Linked DNA regions of Caenorhabditis elegans. The protein of the gene in region 1 purifies or fractionates together with the protein of each later gene. This does not show direct contact. Each region holds a gene or a part of one and is shown in the gene's direction. Other genes may lie near its edges.

Region 1 (4,204 bases):
ACTCGTCAAATAGGTTTTCGCAACTATTTTTCCATATTCTCGTGATTTATCATTCTGTAAAAACATTTCTTAGGTCTCTTTTGATTGTTTATTCCCTTTTCCTGGTTTCCCATTATAGGTTAAAACCTGAAAACCCTTGCGCCGGGTCGGATTATGCTTTAGTTTTCACCGCCGCTCCGTTTCGCGCGCGCGCTTATATAATCCCCTTGTACAGCAGCCCTTTTTCGTATTAATGTTCCATATCGAAAATGCGCTCCGCTGAGAATTGGTCGGCTTTTTTTGTTGTTGACGCGGTGTCTGCTGATGTTCTTTCGGACGTATGATGAGATGAAGGAAGAACTAGTTTTTGTGTTCAGACTTCTTCATTGACGAACACGTCTCCGTTCTTTTCTTGTTGCGGTGGTGGTGGTGGTCGTCGCAGATGAATAAGACGTTGGCCGTTTTCGCTACACCCCCCCCCCCCCCCCTCCCCATCCCCCAATTTCAACTTCTCGTTTTGCGTGCAAAACAAGAGGAAATTGAAGTATTGTGGGGATAATTCGATAACCAGAACACGCACACACACTGACCCCTATCTTCTCTCTTTTTTGTTGTTTCATTTCTTTTCCTTCCGCAAGACGTCTCGGCCATCAGAGTTTTCCGATTATTATGTGTAATGGAATATCCGCAGGGGATCTTTGATCTACCCACTGGAAATTTGTTTTTTTTTGGTGGATTTTTGACAGAAATCACGCGCTCTCCTCAAAGCCGAATAATTTTCTACGTTTCGCATTTCTGCATCCGCGGTGTTTTGCCTTTCCACACGTTGTGTCAGAGTGTCTCATTCCGGCTTGATCTACAAAGATCTACAAAAAATGCGGGAGAAGAGACAACAGAGTTCTCAACTGATTTTGCATTGTTAAGAACGTGCTGACATCACATTTATTGGGCAAAATTCCCGCATTTTTTGTAGATCAAACCGTAATGGGACAGCCCAGCCTGGCACCACGTGTTTCCACTGAAAGTAGATGTTTTTTTTTCAGCATTTCACGGACAAACCTATTGCTAGACAGTGAACATCGAAATTAAAATGACTAAAATGAACTTTTTTCGTCTACTGGTTGTGAAAAGGTTTGAAATTGAAAAAATCAACGAGATTTTTCTTATTTTCTAAATATTTTCCTATTAAAAATTGATTTTAATCCATTTGTGACCTTACTTTAGAGTCAAAAGTGGTTTAAAACCGATTTTCGATAGAAAAATAGATTCAGAAAATAACAAAAAAAAATATCCCGCTGATTTTTTCAACTTTTTCTCAACCAGTGGACGAAAAAAGTTGATTTTCGTCATTTTGGTTTGTTCCTAAGATTCAATAAATCTGATTTTTTCAGTGGACAGGCAAAAACATCGCGGATGCAGAAACGCAAAGCGCGTAGCAAGCGCGCTCTAATAATAATTCGGCTTTGAGGAGAGTGAAATCGCTAAATATTTCCAATTCGACAAAATCAACCTTTGATTTCGTCTCCTTCTCTCTTCATTTCGAAATATAAAATTTGTACCTATCGTTGGCTTATCAGTCAGTAAATTCTCTCTAGTTCTTCTCTATTTTCTCTCTTTTCTCTCTTTTTTCGATTATTCTCTCCGATTTTTTCTCTCTCGTCACCGTTTCACCCACCGGTATTCATCATTGTTTACGTCGTTCCGCTCGCTTTCAAACAATTTATATTGATTTTAATTAATTAATTAATTATCCTTTTTCATTTTTCAGGGTTTTCTAACAACACCCCCTGCACAGCGAAAGCAAGATGGCCGATCAACTGACCGAGGAGCAAATTGCCGGTACTTTTTTAAATTCTGATTGATGGACGGAGGACCGGGAGATTGAAGAAATCTAATCCTCTCTCATTTCGAAGCGAATTGAGCAGAAACCAAGCGGCGCGGCGTAGAAATTTAAATTTAATGGATGAAACATTAGCCGTAGCAGCAGATGTATAGCGCCACTATTTTTGTGTGTTTTATTCCAGATGTTGGCTGGTTCTCGCGGCGAAAAATCTATCAACAATTGTATAAAAAACTACAAAATTCGAGAAAAAACCAAATCAATTTTGCCAAATTTTCAGAGTTCAAGGAGGCATTCAGTTTGTTCGACAAGGACGGCGATGGCACAATCACCACCAAGGAATTGGGAACTGTTATGCGGTCTTTGGGACAAAATCCGACTGAAGCCGAGCTTCAGGACATGATCAACGAAGTGGACGCTGACGGAAACGGAACCATCGATTTCCCAGAGTTCTTGACGATGATGGCCCGCAAGATGAAGGACACGGACAGTGAGGAGGAGATTCGTGAGGCGTTCCGAGTAAGAGATTTGTGGAAATTTATAAATTCATTTTTGATTCACTATAGAGAAGCCTCATGTAGTATAGAAAATCTCATTCAAATCTTCCTATTTGCAGGTTTTCGACAAGGACGGAAATGGCTTCATCTCGGCCGCTGAACTGCGCCACGTCATGACCAACTTGGGAGAGAAGCTAACGGACGAAGAGGTCGACGAGATGATCCGTGAAGCCGATATCGACGGAGATGGACAAGTCAATTATGAGGGTGAGTCCTTACAAGACCTTTTTTTTTCGAAATTTCATCAAATTTCCCATATTTCAGAGTTCGTCACCATGATGACAACCAAGTAAATCACACCAATCGGGATCTGAAGCCGCCGTATCGTTTGCGAATCACCAACACCTTTTCTCTCACCTTTCGTTTTTTTATTCTTCCCCGCTTGAAAATTGTGATTTCGCTCTCGAGCCCCAAAAAAAAATTGCCAAGCCCAGTCAAAAAATGCTATAAATGATGTAATTTATGTTCAAATTTAAGTTTTTTTGCCTCTTTTTTGACAGACGTGCTCTCAACCTAATTTTGTTTTTTTCTTAGAATGTGAAACTCATTTATAAGTCATTTTTTTCTTATTTCCTCTTTACAATGATTGAGTTTCTTCTTCTCCTGCCCCTGCCCCCAAATTAAAAAGTCCCGGATCCTCCAGTTCTTGGTCGCCTGCCCCGGCTTGACCCTTCCTCAAAATAATGCCTCCAACCTGTAAAACCCCATAAAAAAATTTAAAAAACTTAAAAAAAACCGCTGGCTTCTTCTTTTCCCACTTGGTATTTTTCTCATATTTTCTCTTCTTCCAAATTGTTCTTCCCAAAAAATGTATTCCAAACTCGAAAATCTTTCTTTCCTCTCTCTTTCCCCCTCAACCATTTATAGAAAGTGTAGAAAATTCCCTCTTTTCGCACCACACACACACCGTCACACGGGCCATTTTAAAATTGTACCTGAAATATTTTCTGTTGCTTTGAATTTCGATTTCGACAAGCAACGGCAAAAAATTTTGGCGCCTAGTGAACACTTTTTGCACCATTGCTTTCTTTTTTTTTGTTTTGGATTTTTTCTTTGAAAATTCCTATTTTATATTATTGTAAAAGTCAAAGTCTCCAAAATCCTTTAATAATTTAATTCCATTCTTCCCAACCAACCCACCACCACCACCGTCTCTATAATCTCTGAACAATTCAAATTTTTATCTCTGATTATCTCGCTTCTCTCGTCCCTTGATGCGAACTTATTCAACAAAAAAAAAAGAAAATCTTCAAATGAAACTTGATTTTTTTTGAATGCTTTGGGGTTTTTCAATCAAAAAGTCAATTTAAAAATTAAAAAGAACAATTTTATTTTTTTGAAAAAAAACTTCTCACATCATCGAAATAGGTGCTCCGACGGTGGACATTTGAAGTTGATCGGCTTGCTGCTGATTATCGACGACAAAGACGGAAAGGTTCACATTTTTTTGCCGGAAAAAATCGATTATAATGAAGCCGAGTTGTCGTCTGAAAATTGAAAAAGTTGAAAAGCGGCAGGCTCCACCCCCAAACGTTGGGTCTCGTTAGGTATTGACGGCAAACATGATGATTCAATATTAAAGGACCACAAAACACTGCTACTGCGTATCGCACAACATATTTGACGCGCAGAATATCTCGCAGCGAAGTCTACAGTAACCCCTTAAATTACTACTGTTACTACTGTTACTACTGTGTCGATTTACGGGCTCGATTTTCGAAATGAATTTATTTTCGAATAGTAGTGACAGTTTTTTTTGCATTATTTGATAAATTTCAATATTTTAGCAATAAATAAATTATTCATTTCAAAAATCGAGCCCGTAAAT
Region 2 (4,591 bases), on another chromosome or scaffold:
GTCAAATTGCTCGACTTCCAAAGAAAACTGAGCTCAGTAGGCCTGCCTTTGCCTGCCTACAATGCGACCGACACCTGCCTGCTGGGTTTTATTTTAGTTGAACTTTCAACAATGCGGATACAGGCAGGCAGGCTTGCCTATCCGACTCAAATTTTCGTACCAAACTTTTTTTTTTGAAATCTCTTGATGTACAGGTGGGCGGCAATTACTGTTCGGCAAATTTACTTCCGGCAAATTCGACAAATTGCCGGTTTGCCGAATTCGCCGGAAATTTTTATTTTCGGTACATTGCCGATTTGCCGTTTTCCGGATATCAAATTGCCGAAAGTTTTTGTACGGATTTTTTAAAAGACGGAAACACTTAAAACTGTGCCTGTTTGAAAAGATTTCGCCGTTGATATTTTCATAGAATTTGCTTATTTTCCAAATAAATGTAAGAAACATTCATAGGATGCGTACAATTTTGCCGTTTTTTCGACAAATTCGGCAAATCGGCAAGTTACCGGTTTGCCGAAAATGTGCAATTTTGGCTAATGCCGTGCCGTCTTCATGTGCCCTCTTTTTGGGTTCTCTCACTTTTCAGAGGCGAGAGGTCGGAAAATTGCCGGTTTGCCGATTTGCCGAAAAATACCACTTTCCGTAATTTGACGAATTTGCCGGTTTGCCGGATTTCAACTTGCCAAAAATTTTTAAACGGATTTTTTATAAAACGGAAACACTTAAAGCTGTGTCTTTGTAAAATGTTTTCGTCGTAGATATTTTCATAAAATTTACTGCATTTTCTAAATAGATGTAGGATGCGTAAAATTTTGCCGTTTTCACGACACATTCATTCGGCAATTTGGCAAATTGCTGGTTGGCCAAATATGCCGAAAATTTGCGATTTCGGCAAATCCCGTATTTGCCGCTTGCCGGAAAAATCGTTTGCCACTCACCCCTGGAAGAGAGTCTCTCCATGAGCCGCCCTCGTTCTTAAATTTTCCAAAAATATTTTTACAGGTATTCCAGGGATACTGTTAAAGCTTTTAAAGCTTATCATGTACCCCCTCCCTTTTAGAATCGAACTACGTCTCAAGTACGTCGGCGACTTCATCATCATCGCCTCGGCCATCAAGTACGTCTTCAATGATCTATGATTCATTGAATCAGCTGCTTGCCTTCTCCCCCGTCTTGAAAGTTGAACGGAGTGAGGGGAGAGAAAGACACTTTCTCTCTCTCTCACTGCCTCAGAAAATTGGCAGCATAGGTCTCTCTCTCTCTCGAAAAACTGGGGGGAGATGAAGCTGAAGACGTCGGTTGGCAAGGAGGAGAGAGGGAGCAGAGACGGGGTGGCAAGTAATTGCAATTGGGGGAAGGGAAACACACGAGATGTGTGTGTGTGGATGACGAGATGAAGCACTCGCTTTTAAGAGTCAGATGAGAGATAGAGAAAGAGCACTGGGGGGGAGGGGCGGAGTCTGTTTCTCTGACGTTCTCCATCTCTCTCCAACTCTCTTCGTCTCCAGCCATATTCTAGTTTTTTCCCCCCCCCCCCCCCCCTTTTGCTCCTTTTCCTTTTTCTTACTCAACGGCTCCCCCTCGACGAGCCCAATGCCCCTTTTTAAGCGACGGGATGGGAGTGGTCCCGCGCCGAACGCCACGATTCGGGAGAAATATGATTTTCGTGATGTCCTTGGGACGGGAGCTTTTTCGAAGGTTAGTTGGTATCGAAACTAGCAATTTTTTTGGGCTTAGCGGTAATTCTTAAAGAAGGGAGCGTTTAAGAAAAAAAAAGAAAAAATACCGACATTTTTTGAGAAGTTTTCTTAGATTTTCTGGGTTTCTTACCACACTAAAAATTCTGGTTAATTATTATATTATGGGTAGTTTTAATGGTTAGCTATTTGTGCTTTAGTGTGTTTAGAGCAGATAATTATGAAGACGGGCAATTTTAATGGTCTTACAAAAACAATAGAAAAAAATGTTTAACGTGGCGAATTTCGATTTTTTTTTTCAAAAAATTCAGAGACAGAGCCTCGATGCACCATGTTTTATGACGACCTTGTGACGTGGGCAGGAAACTCATAATTTATCCGATTGCCGTGGGAAGATGAAAACCCGCTTTACAGAAACACAAATTTCTAGAAATTCAGAGACAAAGCCCCGATGCACCAGGTTTTTTAAAGACCCTAGGTCGTGGCCGTGGAGTGATATTGGTGGCCGAGTTTTCTCCCTGAAAACTTTGGTAAATTCCTCATGGTCATGATCGAGAATATAGAAAACTCGGCCACCTTTCGAATGAAACTTTCCGAAAATTCCGAGCAACTCTCGATGCACCATGTTTTTTGATGGCTGTGAAAAACTTCTTTTTTTTTTGAATTCTAAAAATTCTCAAAAATTATCAAAATGCTTCCGCCGAAATTTAAAAATTTCTTTTTTTTTCTAATCGATACTTTGGCAAACCGAAAATTATTGAATTCACAAAATTTTCGAGAAAAATCTCGAGCAAACTATTTTCCTCTCCCAGCTCATAAAAATCTGAGAATGTCATCTCTGAAAAAAAAATTAAATTCTGTGAAATTTTAAAATTCTGAGAATTCCAGCAACTGCTCTTTAGTAATTTTCGAGTTTTGAAAATGTCAAGTATTCAGGGTTTTTTGGCAATTGTCAAGTTGCAGAAAATTCCGCATTTTCAGCACTTGTCTAGTTTCAAAATGTTCAAAAATTCGACATTTTCGACAATTGCAGAATTGGCTAAAATTCGAATTGCCACGAATTTTTATGCACTGACCTAATTGAAGACTCCTTTTTTTTCATATGAACTAGGTTGCTTTAAAAAGCTCATGCCACGTGGAAAAGCTAATGCGTCATGATTTCTAATTTAAATTTTTTTCTGTAAACCGAGAGCCCCTATATTTCTCTTTTTTTCTTCTTCATCTCCCCCCAATGCATATGGATTTTCTCTGTCTCCAGCCGCGCCGCCGCTCAATTTCAGGGGCACCCTGACTTTATCCCCCCCCCCCCCCCCCACTCTCCGAATCGGAAGCGGTGCCCGGGCAAAGAAACGAGACGCGAGAGCAACGGAGTGAGATAGAAATAGAATTTCTGAATTAAACGAGTGTATGTGTGTGTGTGTGTGGTGGACATTGAAGAGAGCACCCATTTTGTTGAAGAGAGATAGACCGATTGATGAGCTTATCCCCATCAGGTCCATCCACACACGTATTACAACACCATACGAACATGCTTTGGAAAAAAATTTGATGGCCTTGGATATTACCCCCCGACCGAATTCAATTTCGTTTTTTTTTCAGGAAAAGTCCAGCACGTAGAATTTCTATTTTCGAGGTAAACCTGGTTAGGCTTCCTTTTATAGAAAATCCCAGAAAAGAGGGGGTCTAGACATTGTCACTACGACTACATTGGAGACGGGTCTAGCTTGAGAGGCTGTGTCCAAAGTCTAAGCCTCAGACTTAGCATGAGCATAAGCCCAACCCCAAGCCCAAGGCCAGGCCCAAGTCTAAGCCTAAACTTCAGACTTAAGCTTCTTGGTGGCCTATACGACTCCCTGTTAAATTTCGCTTTGATCGGCCAACGGGAACCCTTTAAAAAATGAAAAAAACGCTATAAACCCAAGCCTAAATAGCGTCAGTGGCGAGCGTTAGCTGCCAAGCCTAAGCCTAAGGCTAAGACTAAGCCTAAGCCTAAGACCAAGCCTAAGCCTAAGCCTGAGACTAAGCCTAAGCCTAAGCCTAAGCCCCACTGCCCTAAGTGAATTGCTAAAATAATTAAACTACCAGTAACGCCTCATAACTCTTGACTTTTGACCCATTTTTGCTTCCAATTATGCCCCTTTTCCAAAAAAAAACCTTCTCCCCATACTATCTAATTATCTCATGCTCCGTTGTGCTCAACGAAGCTTGTGTTGTTGTTGCACACACACACACACACACACACATATACACCCCTTGTCATTCATATAACACGCAATCTTGCCCTCTCCTTCCTCATGACCTAAGACAGGGGAGAAAGGAAATTAAATTATAGTGCTGCTCGCGGAGCCGCGCGGGGACTGAAAAAGCATAAGAGGTGTCATTGATGGCGTCATGAAAATGACACAAGTGGTGGTTTTGTTTCATTTTGATGACGTTTCATCGTGCAAATATTGTAGAGAATATTGTTTTTGCGCTGGAAACATGGTGCATCGAGGGTGTAAAAACAAGGAGCCTTATTTTTTTCTAATTTTCTGTCATAAAATCAATGTTTTATTGAGGTCAGTTGAATGTTGAAAAAAAAATCGGTGGATGCACCATATCTCTGGAGGCACGCTCCATGTTGCCAAACCTTAATTTCAGTCAAAATTCTAGAATTTTTCCAAATTTCTTAGCTCTTCTAAACAGTCTGGCAAATCAATTTTCTATTAAAAACCAGCTTTTATTCTATTTTTCATCCTCTAAACCATTCTGACAGCCGCCGCTGAGCCGCCGCGCCCGTCTAGTGACGTACAGATCCCACTTTCTTATGCAACAATAATGTGAAGCTCGCGCGCAGAGCCCCTTTCTCCTTCATTTCCAATTTCTTCAAGACCGCAGGTCATCAAGGGAGCTCCCCA
Region 3 (6,692 bases), on another chromosome or scaffold:
AAAAGGAATGAAGCGCATATTTACCTGAAAAAATATTTTAAAGAAAAATCTTTAAATCTTTAAAAAATTGAATTTTTTTTCTAAAATTTGATTTCAAAAAACATGAGAAACATATAATTTTCGGCAAAAAATAGGGAAAAATTGCCTAAATTTGAAGCTATATTTTTTTTTCGGAAAATCTAGAAAAAAAGCGAAAAAAAAACAAAAATTGCACTTCTTTTGTAATTTTCCAGTGCCATATTTTGGATAAAAAAGGAAAATTTTTAATTTTTTTTTCGAAAAAAGCGAGTTTTTCTGCTAAAAACACGAAAAAGGCGGAAGAAACATTTTTTTTCAAAAAATTTGAATTTCCCGCCAAAATATTGAATTTCCAAACTCCTTCCACTTTCAATGACGCCAAAAAAAAATATTTTCCTCTCATTTTTCACTCTCTAGTTGACTGCGTTTCTCTCTATATTGACGCAAATAATTTTTTTTTCATCATTTTTTCCCCCGTCTCTTTTCATTTCTCTACACAAAAAATCTACTTTTTAATCAATAAATTCCCTTAATTTTCGCATTTTTTTCAGGTCAGCCCAAAACATGTCACCAAATACGTCACCCAAGTGCTTGTGGCGAAGAAAGAAGCCGAGTTGAAGCTGGAAAATCAGAAATTCGGAGAGAAAAAGGAGATTAATCGAAGAAAAGAGCTTCTGATGAGTGGAATGGATGAAGATGAAGCTGATAGGCATTTGGAGGAAATGAGGACTCGAAGAATGACAAATTCCAAGAGAAAGCTGGAGAAAATTAGTGGACAATTGGATAAAAGAGATCGATTTCAGAAGAAATTGGCGGCGAAAAAAGTGAAAAAGGAAGAAAATTGAATTCATTTTAAATATTGTAATTTTTGTTCAGCTTGTGTCGATTTACGCGGCTCGTGTACTCCTCGTGGAGAAGTGCAAAATTTTTACAGTTTTTGCTCAAAATTACAGAAAACTGTTAACAAAATGCAAATTTTTGAACAATTAAAACAATTAAAAGTGGCCAAAAATTACCAAAAATTGCAAATCTCCACTTTTTCAAATTAAAATTACGGTATATTTTTGGCATTTAAAGTTGTGTTTGCGGCAAACGATTTTTTTCCGGCAAATCGGCAAATTTGCCGGAATTGAAAATTTGCGGTAAATCGGCAAACCTGCAACTTGCCGAAAAAACGGAAATTGCCATAGATTTTCGGCAAATTGCGATTTTTTACCTTTTTTTTTTTTGATATTTCAGAATTTAAATTTTAATCGGCAAAACTGTACGCATCCTATGACTATTCCTACATCTAATTTGAAAATTGGCAAATTCTATGAAAATATCTAGAAAACCGACAAAAAAATTTCAAAAAAGCACAGTTTCAAGTTTTTCCGTCTCGTAAAAATTCTTCCAAAAAATTCCTGCAAATTTATGTTCGGTAAATCGGCAGGTCGACAATTCGCCGATTTGCCGATTTTGTCGACAAAGAAATTTGCCGAACAGCAACTGTTAACAAAATGCAAATTTTTAATTTAAAATTAAAATTTTTAAGTTGCCAAAAATCACCAAAAATTGAAAATCTCATTTTTTTTCTGGGATTTAAAGCAAAAAATCATTTTTTTTTAGTGTTAAATTCAAAATTCTAGTACTTTACTTCTCCTCGTGGAGTACACGAGCTTGCGATTTCTGTTGTTTTAGATTTAAATTGTTACTTTTTTTGTTTTGTTTTGTTTTTTTGTTGTTGATTTCTTTTGAAAAAAAATCAATATTTTCTATCACATCTATTTTCTTTTTATTCCCCATAATGGTTTCCTTAAAACCTTCCTCATAATATCTCTAAAAGCCGTCTCAAAAAGCGATTGCTCTAACACTTTCAGCTAATCATGATCTCCAGTGAGCACAACTATCAGCATTTATATCACGAAGAACAATACGATATGTGAGTTTAAAATGATATTTGGATAAATTTAGAAAAATCGAATTTTTGAAAAAAAAAATCAGATTTTTCTCAAAAAAGATCCAATTTATTTTCCGATAAATTGGCGAAAAATCAACAATTTTTTATATATGAAAAAAGAAAATTTTTCTAATTGTAAGTACTTACGAAGTGCTAAAAATAATTTAATCTACTAAATAAAAAAATTAAAAAAAAACTTTTGTTGTCAAAATTTTTTTTTTTCAACAAACAATTTTTTATTTTAAAAAGGTAAAAAATCAGTTTTTGCAAACACTTTTTTTCGAAAAAAAAAAACGTTTTTTACTTTAAAAAAAAGATGTTTCTAAAAACCTTCGAAAAATACCAGATTTTTCGAAAAAATTGCAATTTTTTTAATACGAAAATTTAAAAAAGTTAATTTTCGAAACAAGTCCATTTTTTAATTATATATTCTATCAAAAAAAATTGAATTAAAAAAAAACTTGATCTTCCATTAAAAACACATTTTTTTTCGATAAAAATCTTTAAAAATCTTAAGGTGTTTTTTCTTGAGAAAAAATACTCGATTTTCTTTTTAAAAAAAACTGCGCTTTTTTTGTAAAAAATTTAAAAAAAAATTAATTTCCGACAGAAAAACTATTTTTTAAAATTATATATTCGATAAAAATTCAAAAAATCGCGTTTTCCTTTAAGAACATATTTTTGGATAAAGTTTGATGTTATCAGTTTTTTTTTTCAAATTAGAAAAATCAAAAATTCACTCAAAAAAATCCCAAAAAGCATTTTTCCGAAAAAAAAGTTCGCTTAAAAAAATCAGAAAATTATCTGATTTTTCTAAAAAAAATCATAAATAACCTTTTTTTGCAGGAACTACACAGCGACCCGCTTCGGCGAGGAAATGATCGAACCGACATTCAACCTACGTCTCATCGAAGCCGTCCGTCATAGTCGATGCCTTTTCGACAATACAGACCGACAATACCGTAATACAGAATACAAAAATCGAGTTTGGCAGCGTCTGGTTACTGTACTCGGTTTTGATGGTGATCCGAGAATGTTATCTGCGAGATGGAAGCAATTAAGAGATAAATATGGAAAAGAGAAGAGAAAACAAAAATATGGAAATGAGAAATCATCATGGCAATATTTCAAACATCTTCATTTTCTAGATCCACATATGACAGATCGAGCAGAAATATCACCATCTCGAAAAGAGCCAACTGGAGTTCATGAAAAGATTGCTGAGCCATGTTTTGGAAAAAATCTAATTCTTGAAGTGAGAAGGCATCCGTGTCTTTATGATGTTCGTGATCCAAAATATCGTCATGGAGACTGTCGTACTCAAGCATGGGGAATGATTATTGATAAACTACGATATCCTGGAACAGTTCCGTCGATTTATAAACAATGGAAGAAGCATCGAGATCGATATGTTAGGGAGAAGAGGAGGCTGAGGAATTTGGTAGGCATTTGGAGGCCTCATGAAAAGGAGAACTTATGGAAAATGGGATCTGGCAGGCGGCAGTTGCCGGTTTACCTATTTGCCGGAAATTTTGATTCCCGGCAAAGTGACGATTTGCCGGAAATTCTAATTTTAGGCAATTTGCCGGTTTTCCGGAAATTTTGATTTTTGGCAAATTGCCTATTTGCCGGAAGTTTTCATTTTGGGCATTTTGCCGATATGCCGGAATTTTTAATTTTAGGCAATTTGGCGATTTGCCCGAAATTTTGATTTTTGGAAAATTGCCTATTTGCCGGAAATTTTGATTTTTGGCAAGTTGCCGATTTGGCGATTTGCCGGAAATTTTGATAAACGGCAAATTTGGCGATTTGCCGGAAATTTTGATAAACGGCAAATTTGGCGATTTGCCGGAAATTTTGATATTCGGCAAATTTCCGGTTTGGCGATTTGCCGGAAATTCTAATTTTAGGCAATTTGGCGATTTGCCGGAATATTTTTATTTTCGGGATATTGCCTATTTGGCGATTTGCCGGAAGTTTTAATTTCGGGCAATTTGCTGATTTGCCGGTTTGCCGGAAATTTCGATTTTCGACAAATTCGGCAAGTTGGAAATTTGCCGGAATTGCCGGAAAAAATCGTTTGCCCCTCCCTGCCTGGCACTGCCAACGCACAAAACTCAATTTTTCTTTGAGAAAAAATTGGCACAGTGCCAGAATCCCCTTTCTCAACAGTATCCCGTTTTCGTGGAGCCTCTATTTTTGTTTTAAACAGAAATTTTACAAATTTTTCTTAGCAACTTCAGGGTGATCCGAATGTTCAAGATGTGTCAACTTGGGAGATGTATGATGATATGGCTTGGATAGATCAGCATTTGGATGAACGTACGAGCTTTTTTTCCTGGAAAATTAAAACAAAAAACCTTTAAATCAAACTGATCCTGAATGCCGAAATACCATAAAAGGCCCCCGAAAAAAAAAATCAAAAATCATTAAGTTTGAAAAAAAATCGGTTGATTTTGGTTAATTTTCAATTCTGACTAATCTCCTAATCATTTAAATTGCCGCGCCTTTTTCAGCGCCGCACTCCGTAGATCTGTATCTGCGCGACGTTAATTCTAGTTTTTCCCGTTTTTTCCTCGCAAGTGAAGACAATAGTGCGGATGCAGATCTACGGACAATAGTGTGGATGCAGAGAGATTCAGGATCAGTTTGCGCATTTTGAAGTAAAATCCCTCATTTACTCCTACTCCTCCAGCTTTAAAATCGTTTTTTTTCCTCAATATAAATACGAAAAAAGAGTTTAGTTTTAGAACTCTTGTTTTGACATGTAAAAAATTTCGCACCGCCATATGTGAAATTACGAATTACGCAGTTCCATGTATTATTTTACGTGGCTCCTAAAATCGCCGGAATAAATACTTTAAAAAAAACTAAAATTTTGCAGAGCAACTATCTCGATGTGCTCGAAGTCTGAAACGAGGGGGAAACAATGACGGAGGAAATCAGGATGAAATGTCAGATTATGGAGATTACGATGATGAGTGAGTGAGCTAAAATGAGCAAAAAGTTGATGAAAAAAAAAGAGGAAATTTGACTCTAAAATTGATCAACTTCTAACCAATCAGCGCTCGGCCCCTTCTCTTTTTTGAACCAATCAGCGACGACCTGTGCCGCTGATTGGTTCGGAATTGCGCGGAGTCGGGCGCTGATTGGTCGGAAGCAAATAGTGGCGGTTTTAAGACAATTTTCGGTGATTTCTATTAGATTCTCTAGAAAAATTGAAAAATTTTCAAAAAAAAAAATTCAAAGATTTAGAAAAATGAAATTTTAAAAATTTGGAATTTGCGAAAACTTGATGATTTGGTGCAATTTTTTCCGACAAGTAATCACAGATAATTCCAAAATAATAATTTTATTTTGCCAAAAAAAAAATCAATAAACCCCTGAAATTTCCAGCATAAACTACGTGATGATGGCTGAAAAGCGACCAAACAACGGTGATGTACTTCTCGACGGAGATTCTGCATTCTCTGCATCAATTGTATCGGATCTAAGGACACTTGGAGAAGAAGCACGAATAATTGCAAAGCAGCAGATTATGATACTTTTGGAATCCGCTAAACCTCCGTCTACACCTGCTCCTAATTATTTGTGATTTTTATTGAATTTTCTAGCCGAAATTTTCAATTTTTTGTCCACTTTTTATTACCCAACCTCGAAATTTCTTCGATTTTACCCCAAGCCGGGTCTCGCCACGACCCAAATTGATAAGTTGAAAACTTTTTTTTTGATAAGTTGAAAATTGAAAAAAGTGTGCGCCTTTAAAGAGTACTGTGTTTAACTGTGAATTTTTGTCGAGTTTTTCTCACAATTTGTGAAAATTTATTGTCTTTTTTATCGAAAAACTATGAAAAATTGATGAAAATTCACGAATTTTTGAAGTTACAGTACTCTTTAAAGGCGCACACCTTTACACACGCACTTAACAAAAATTGTCGCTTCGAGACCCCAGGTACTGTAGTCTTGGCGCATTTATTTCCAATTTTTTTGATCTTTATCCCATCAACTGGTCTCATCATATTTTCATATTTGTACAATATTTCTGTATCTGTATTTTTTTTTGTAATTTTTGTGGGCAGTTTCTTAATTTCCATCGCCGTCTTTCCTATCTCAGGTCCTTTTATTTCATGAATAATTGATTTTTATCCTAGAAAATTTGGATTTTTTGTTGTAAATTTACCTCTTTTAAGGTGTTCAAAACCTACTTTTTATCTGTGTTTTTTGAAAAATTTTGAAAAATTTTTTGCGGATGGGTCTCACCGCGAAGTCTGAAAGTTACACTGCAACTTTTTCCTCGCGAGGGACGAGGAAAAGTGGTTTCTAGGCCATGGCCGAGGGGCCGACAAGTTTCAGCGGCCATTTATCTTGCTTTGTTTTCCGCCTGTTTTCTTTCGTTTTTCATCGATTTTTTTCGTTTTTTCTTAATAAAACTGATAAATAAATATTTTTTGCAGATGCTAAAACAATTTCCAATTTCCAAGTGAAAAAATCATGCATTCAGTGGGCAAGCAGCGGTGAAAGTGGTCAATGTAATATGATGGATTACGGGAATACAAAACCTAAACTTTTTCTGAAACATGATACATATGATGCTTAGATGCTGAAATTACCTGATTTTCATAACGAGACCGCTGAAAAAGTTTTGAGGTTTTCAAAATTCAATTTTTTTGTGCGAAAATCTCGACTTTTTCACCAAAAAAGTTGAATTTTGGAAACCTCAAAACTTTCTTAGCGG
Region 4 (4,163 bases), on another chromosome or scaffold:
GACACGGCGACACTAAATGTTCTGATGAGCACGATCTTTCGAAAGAAACCCAAATAAAGTGAGGTTTCGCTTTGATAAGTTTTGTAACTTCTATCGACATATTGTAGAGATATTGGAGCAATCTTCAAGAACATTTTCGGCGAAGACGATTCACCAGTATGCATTGTTGGACACAGTATGGGTGGTGCATTGGCCATTCATACATTGAATGCAAAGATGATTTCTTCAAAAGTCGCTGCACTCATTGTCATTGATGTTGTCGAAGGTTCCGCTATGGAAGCACTTGGAGGAATGGTTCATTTTTTACATTCAAGGCCTTCTTCATTTCCTTCTATCGAAAAAGCCATTCACTGGTGCCTTTCTTCGGGTACAGCGAGGAATCCCACAGCTGCACGGGTCTCAATGCCGTCTCAAATTAGAGAAGTATCGGAACACGAGTACACTTGGCGAATTGATTTAACAACAACAGAACAGTACTGGAAAGGATGGTTTGAAGGATTATCCAAAGAATTTTTGGGATGTTCCGTTCCGAAGATGCTTGTTCTAGCGGGCGTTGATCGGCTGGACAGGGATCTCACAATTGGTCAAATGCAGGGAAAGTTTCAGACTTGTGTGTTACCAAAAGTTGGACATTGTGTTCAGGTAAATGTTATACTCAATTAATAATTTATATAAATTGTCTTGCAGGAAGATAGCCCACAAAATCTTGCAGATGAAGTCGGAAGATTCGCTTGCCGCCATAGAATTGCCCAACCGAAATTCTCAGCCCTTGCATCACCACCAGATCCAGCGATTCTCGAATACAGAAAACGTCATCACCAATAATTGCTCATTTTGTTTTCCAATATTTTCACAACATTTCTATACAAGTTAAGAAAAAAATATTTTATATGAAAAGATTATCGATTAAATTTCCCGTCTTTTTAGTTCTTGGGAATAATAAATGTCAGCGACATACGAATGAATCGATTATTTTAGAGGAGAGGCAGATGCCAAAAAATTACAGTCAAAAAGAAGTATTCGTGAAAGAGTGCGCAAATCGAGAGACGCAGACAGAATGCAAACGCGCTCCGCTGAACTGTGGCCGCCAAGCGTTTCGTTTAAAAGGGAGCGTTGTCTATTTTCCTATCTATTCTTGCCAGTTTTATTTTATTTCGCAACTATCTTTTTACTACGATTTTCGAAAATATTTTCAAATTCAAGAATGTAATTATTTTGTGTTTCAGAAACCATGTCGACTTCTGTTAAGCATCGTGAGTTCGTCGGAGAGCCAATGGGCGACAAAGAAGTCACATGCATCGCCGGGATCGGGCCAACATATGGCACCAAGCTCACCGATGCAGGCTTCGATAAAGTATGTAGATTTTTTTTTCTCAAATTTTCGATCAATGTTAAAATTTGAATTTCAGGCCTACGTACTGTTCGGACAGTATCTCCTTCTGAAGAAAGACGAGGATTTGTTTATCGAATGGCTGAAAGAGACGGCTGGAGTGACTGCAAATCACGCGAAGACGGCGTTCAATTGTTTGAACGAGTGGGCAGATCAGTTCATGTAAACTGCTCAATATTTCTGCTAAGCATCGATTTGATTCTCCTCTATAATCATCAATGGCCATATTTGCACTTCGAAAAACACCATTTGTTCCAGTGTAGTCGTTTTCCGCTTTGCGACTATGCCCCATTTCAAATTAATCTGTTTCTGAAATATTTCTCATACTTCCAAGTTTTCCCCCTTGTCGTGTGGTCTTGGACTACGGTTCTTGTTTTGTTTTTGACTTTAATTTTGCGATTTTTCTCCCTCCAAATAAAATATTTTCTACGATCCTGAAGAGTGTTTCTAAGTTTTTTATTACGAAAGTTGTCGTTCGAAAGTTTACTTGGAATAAAAACAATATTTTCTATTCTATGGTGATTTCCAGATGCCTCCGAAAAGGGCTGTGAAAAAGAAGGTACAGACCACAGAAAAAGCTCGCCCAACATTGGATCAGGAGATAAAATGTGAGCATTTTTACACGGGTTGGCGGCAATTCGACAATTATCGAAGTTAAAAATTAATTTTTTTTTTCAAAAAATATACTGAAAAATACATTTTCAAATGTGTGTTTCCAAAAAAGTTTCGGATTTGTTACAATATTCACACGGAATTTATTTTTTCAGTAGATGACTCAAATGAGCTTGAACCATCGATTCGAAGTGTTGTGACGAGTTTGATGTTCACTTCGGGAGACGACGAAAATCCACTTTCTGAAAATGAAGATTTCGTTGTGAATATACTGAAAAACGAGTTGGTTCTCTTTATTAACGATGTTATAGAGGTTTATGATAATAAGTAAGCAGATTTTTTTTTTCCGAAATAATTCAAACATTTACAGAATTCCAAATGTGAAGCTACAACATATGCTTCAACTTCTCAACAGTCAAAAAGGAGTACTTTCTCGTTTTATTAAATATCTCAAGAATCGTGTGGAAATGTCGGCATTCATGAGAGCGAAATCATTTTCTAAAAACGGAACTGAAAATATTTGTGGACAAGAAGTAGAGAATGAAGATGAAACGGTCTGTAAAACTGAAAAAAATTAAATTTAGAATAATTACTTTCAGACTGATGAAAAGATAGAAGAGGGAGTTGATCCAATGGATGAAATTGGTGAAGTTGGTGGAGAAGAGGGAGAATATTTGAAAAATAAGAGGTTATTACTATTACTGTCTTAATTTGTATTTTTGGGGGCAAAAAATCGAATTTTTGCGTCTGAAAATATTAGAAAATTTTTGAAATATTACAGGAGAACGTACGGTACAATTACATCCGAGGAAAACCTGCTTCAAGAAGCTCAAAAGTCGTTTTTCGATGCTGGATTAGATTTCAATACATTCGAAAATGATGTGGATGAGAATCACAATCAACAATTAATAGTTCTTCAAACAATTCTCGAAGATATGAACGCTGATGAATACAGTCGATTCGCACTTGCTCGACGTGTCAGTTTCCAGAATCAATCAGCAGTTCCTGTGGTTTATAGTGACACATTTTCAAAGTCAAATGCAAGAAAAAGGTAATAATATTACACAATGCGAAATTTTGCGGTATCCGGTCCCGAAGCGACCGGTTTTCTTAAATTCTATAGAGCTTGCACCTTTAAGGGGTACTGTAGAGCTAACTTTTAAGTATTTCAAAACTTTTTTTTCTCAATGAACTTCAGGGGAAATGAAAGCCTCTCAAAAATTAAAGAAAATCGCGCTTTTTTTTTTGAAGGTAAACATTTACTAACATTTTTCCTAATTTCAGAAAACGATCGCCTCCAACAAACAATCGTCAACTTCTGCTCCAATGGCTTGGAAATCCACCAGTTCACGACGAATCCGCTCAAGTTTTTCTCGCATTTCTCGCCAAAGATATTATCTCGGAGATCGTTGGAAATGCCCTTCTGGAGCGACGAAAAGTGAGTTCAAGCTCACTAATTGTTCATATTTATCTCCATATTTTCAGATGAATCCCGCAGAAGGAGGTCCACTGAGCTACTCTTATTACGAGGAACCTTTGCGCAGAAACAGAAAATTCCGAAAATACGGCAGGATTTTGATTTAAATTTTAATGGCTTTATAATACTAAAAGATCTCATTATTTGTGTCAGTTTTTTTCAATTTTATAAATAATTGGTAACAAATATCTGAAAAAAAAAACTAGAGAATTTAAGCATTTATCATTTTAAACAAATTCAAATGTGATAACGATAACACGTAAACTGCGATACACGAGATCAATAGCCGGTGTGTTTTGGGTGTGGGTGGATGTGAAAAAAATATTCAAACGGGGATTTTTGTGTCATTTCCTATAGAAAGATAAAAAAGGATACTACTAGAAAAATGTGTTAGTTTTTTGGAAAAATTGAAAATACATTTTCGAGAAACATGCAATAAAGACTATAGATACAATGTTTGAAAAAATGCGAATAAGCCTAGAAAGACACGTCCTAAAAACGGAGTATCAACAAACGAATGGGGGTGCACCTATATTGAGCGTTTTCATGTCAGCGAGAGATCTCAAGCGGCATAAGACTCAAGAGATTCACTAACTTTTTTCGTTTTTTTCAGAAATAAACGAACCGGAAGGGAAAAGTATCACAACATAAAGGAGAAATGAGCAAATTAGTAAGAGAAAGATT

What was found.
Region 2: the proteins of cmd-1 (region 1) and cmk-1 purify together in Caenorhabditis elegans (affinity purification with western blotting; one study listed by BioGRID). This does not show direct contact.
Region 3: the proteins of cmd-1 (region 1) and madf-3 purify together in Caenorhabditis elegans (affinity purification with western blotting; one study listed by BioGRID). This does not show direct contact.
Region 4: the proteins of cmd-1 (region 1) and tag-342 purify together in Caenorhabditis elegans (affinity purification with western blotting; one study listed by BioGRID). This does not show direct contact.

The regions. Positions count from the first base shown.
Region 1 is NC_003283.11:1,154,524-1,158,727, forward strand, and holds cmd-1 (Calmodulin), read left to right. Parts: upstream 1-1,747; 5' UTR 1,748-1,784; coding exon 1,785-1,818; intron 1,819-2,099; coding exon 2,100-2,338; intron 2,339-2,435; coding exon 2,436-2,583; intron 2,584-2,640; coding exon 2,641-2,669; 3' UTR 2,670-3,666; downstream 3,667-4,204. Other genes in the region: T21H3.5 (Serpentine Receptor, class H), read right to left, coding at 3,728-3,863. UniProt on the Caenorhabditis elegans protein: Calmodulin mediates the control of a large number of enzymes, ion channels and other proteins by Ca(2+). Among the enzymes to be stimulated by the calmodulin-Ca(2+) complex are a number of protein kinases and phosphatases.
Region 2 is NC_003282.8:1,822,938-1,827,528, forward strand, and holds the start of cmk-1 (Calcium/calmodulin-dependent protein kinase type 1), read left to right. Parts: upstream 1-1,543; 5' UTR 1,544-1,590; coding exon 1,591-1,695; intron 1,696-4,591. UniProt on the Caenorhabditis elegans protein: Calcium/calmodulin-dependent protein kinase that operates in the calcium-triggered CaMKK-CaMK1 signaling cascade which results in transcriptional activation. Transcriptional activation occurs at least in part through phosphorylation of crh-1.
Region 3 is NC_003280.10:4,332,873-4,339,564, forward strand, and holds madf-3 (Alcohol dehydrogenase transcription factor myb/sant-like protein), read left to right. Parts: upstream 1-1,875; 5' UTR 1,876-1,939; intron 1,940-2,803; 5' UTR 2,804-2,834; coding exon 2,835-3,398; intron 3,399-4,200; coding exon 4,201-4,279; intron 4,280-4,841; coding exon 4,842-4,938; intron 4,939-5,353; coding exon 5,354-5,552; 3' UTR 5,553-6,166; downstream 6,167-6,692. Other genes in the region: H20J04.4 (RNA helicase), read left to right, coding at 570-863.
Region 4 is NC_003281.10:9,466,238-9,470,400, forward strand, and holds tag-342 (transcription initiation factor TFIID subunit 13 family protein), read left to right. Parts: upstream 1-1,919; coding exon 1,920-1,998; intron 1,999-2,157; coding exon 2,158-2,329; intron 2,330-2,372; coding exon 2,373-2,556; intron 2,557-2,601; coding exon 2,602-2,690; intron 2,691-2,783; coding exon 2,784-3,053; intron 3,054-3,286; coding exon 3,287-3,440; intron 3,441-3,487; coding exon 3,488-3,586; 3' UTR 3,587-3,662; downstream 3,663-4,163. Other genes in the region: B0464.9 (putative protein phosphatase methylesterase 1), read left to right, coding at 1-58, 108-642, 688-825; baf-1 (Barrier-to-autointegration factor 1), read left to right, coding at 1,232-1,354, 1,410-1,556.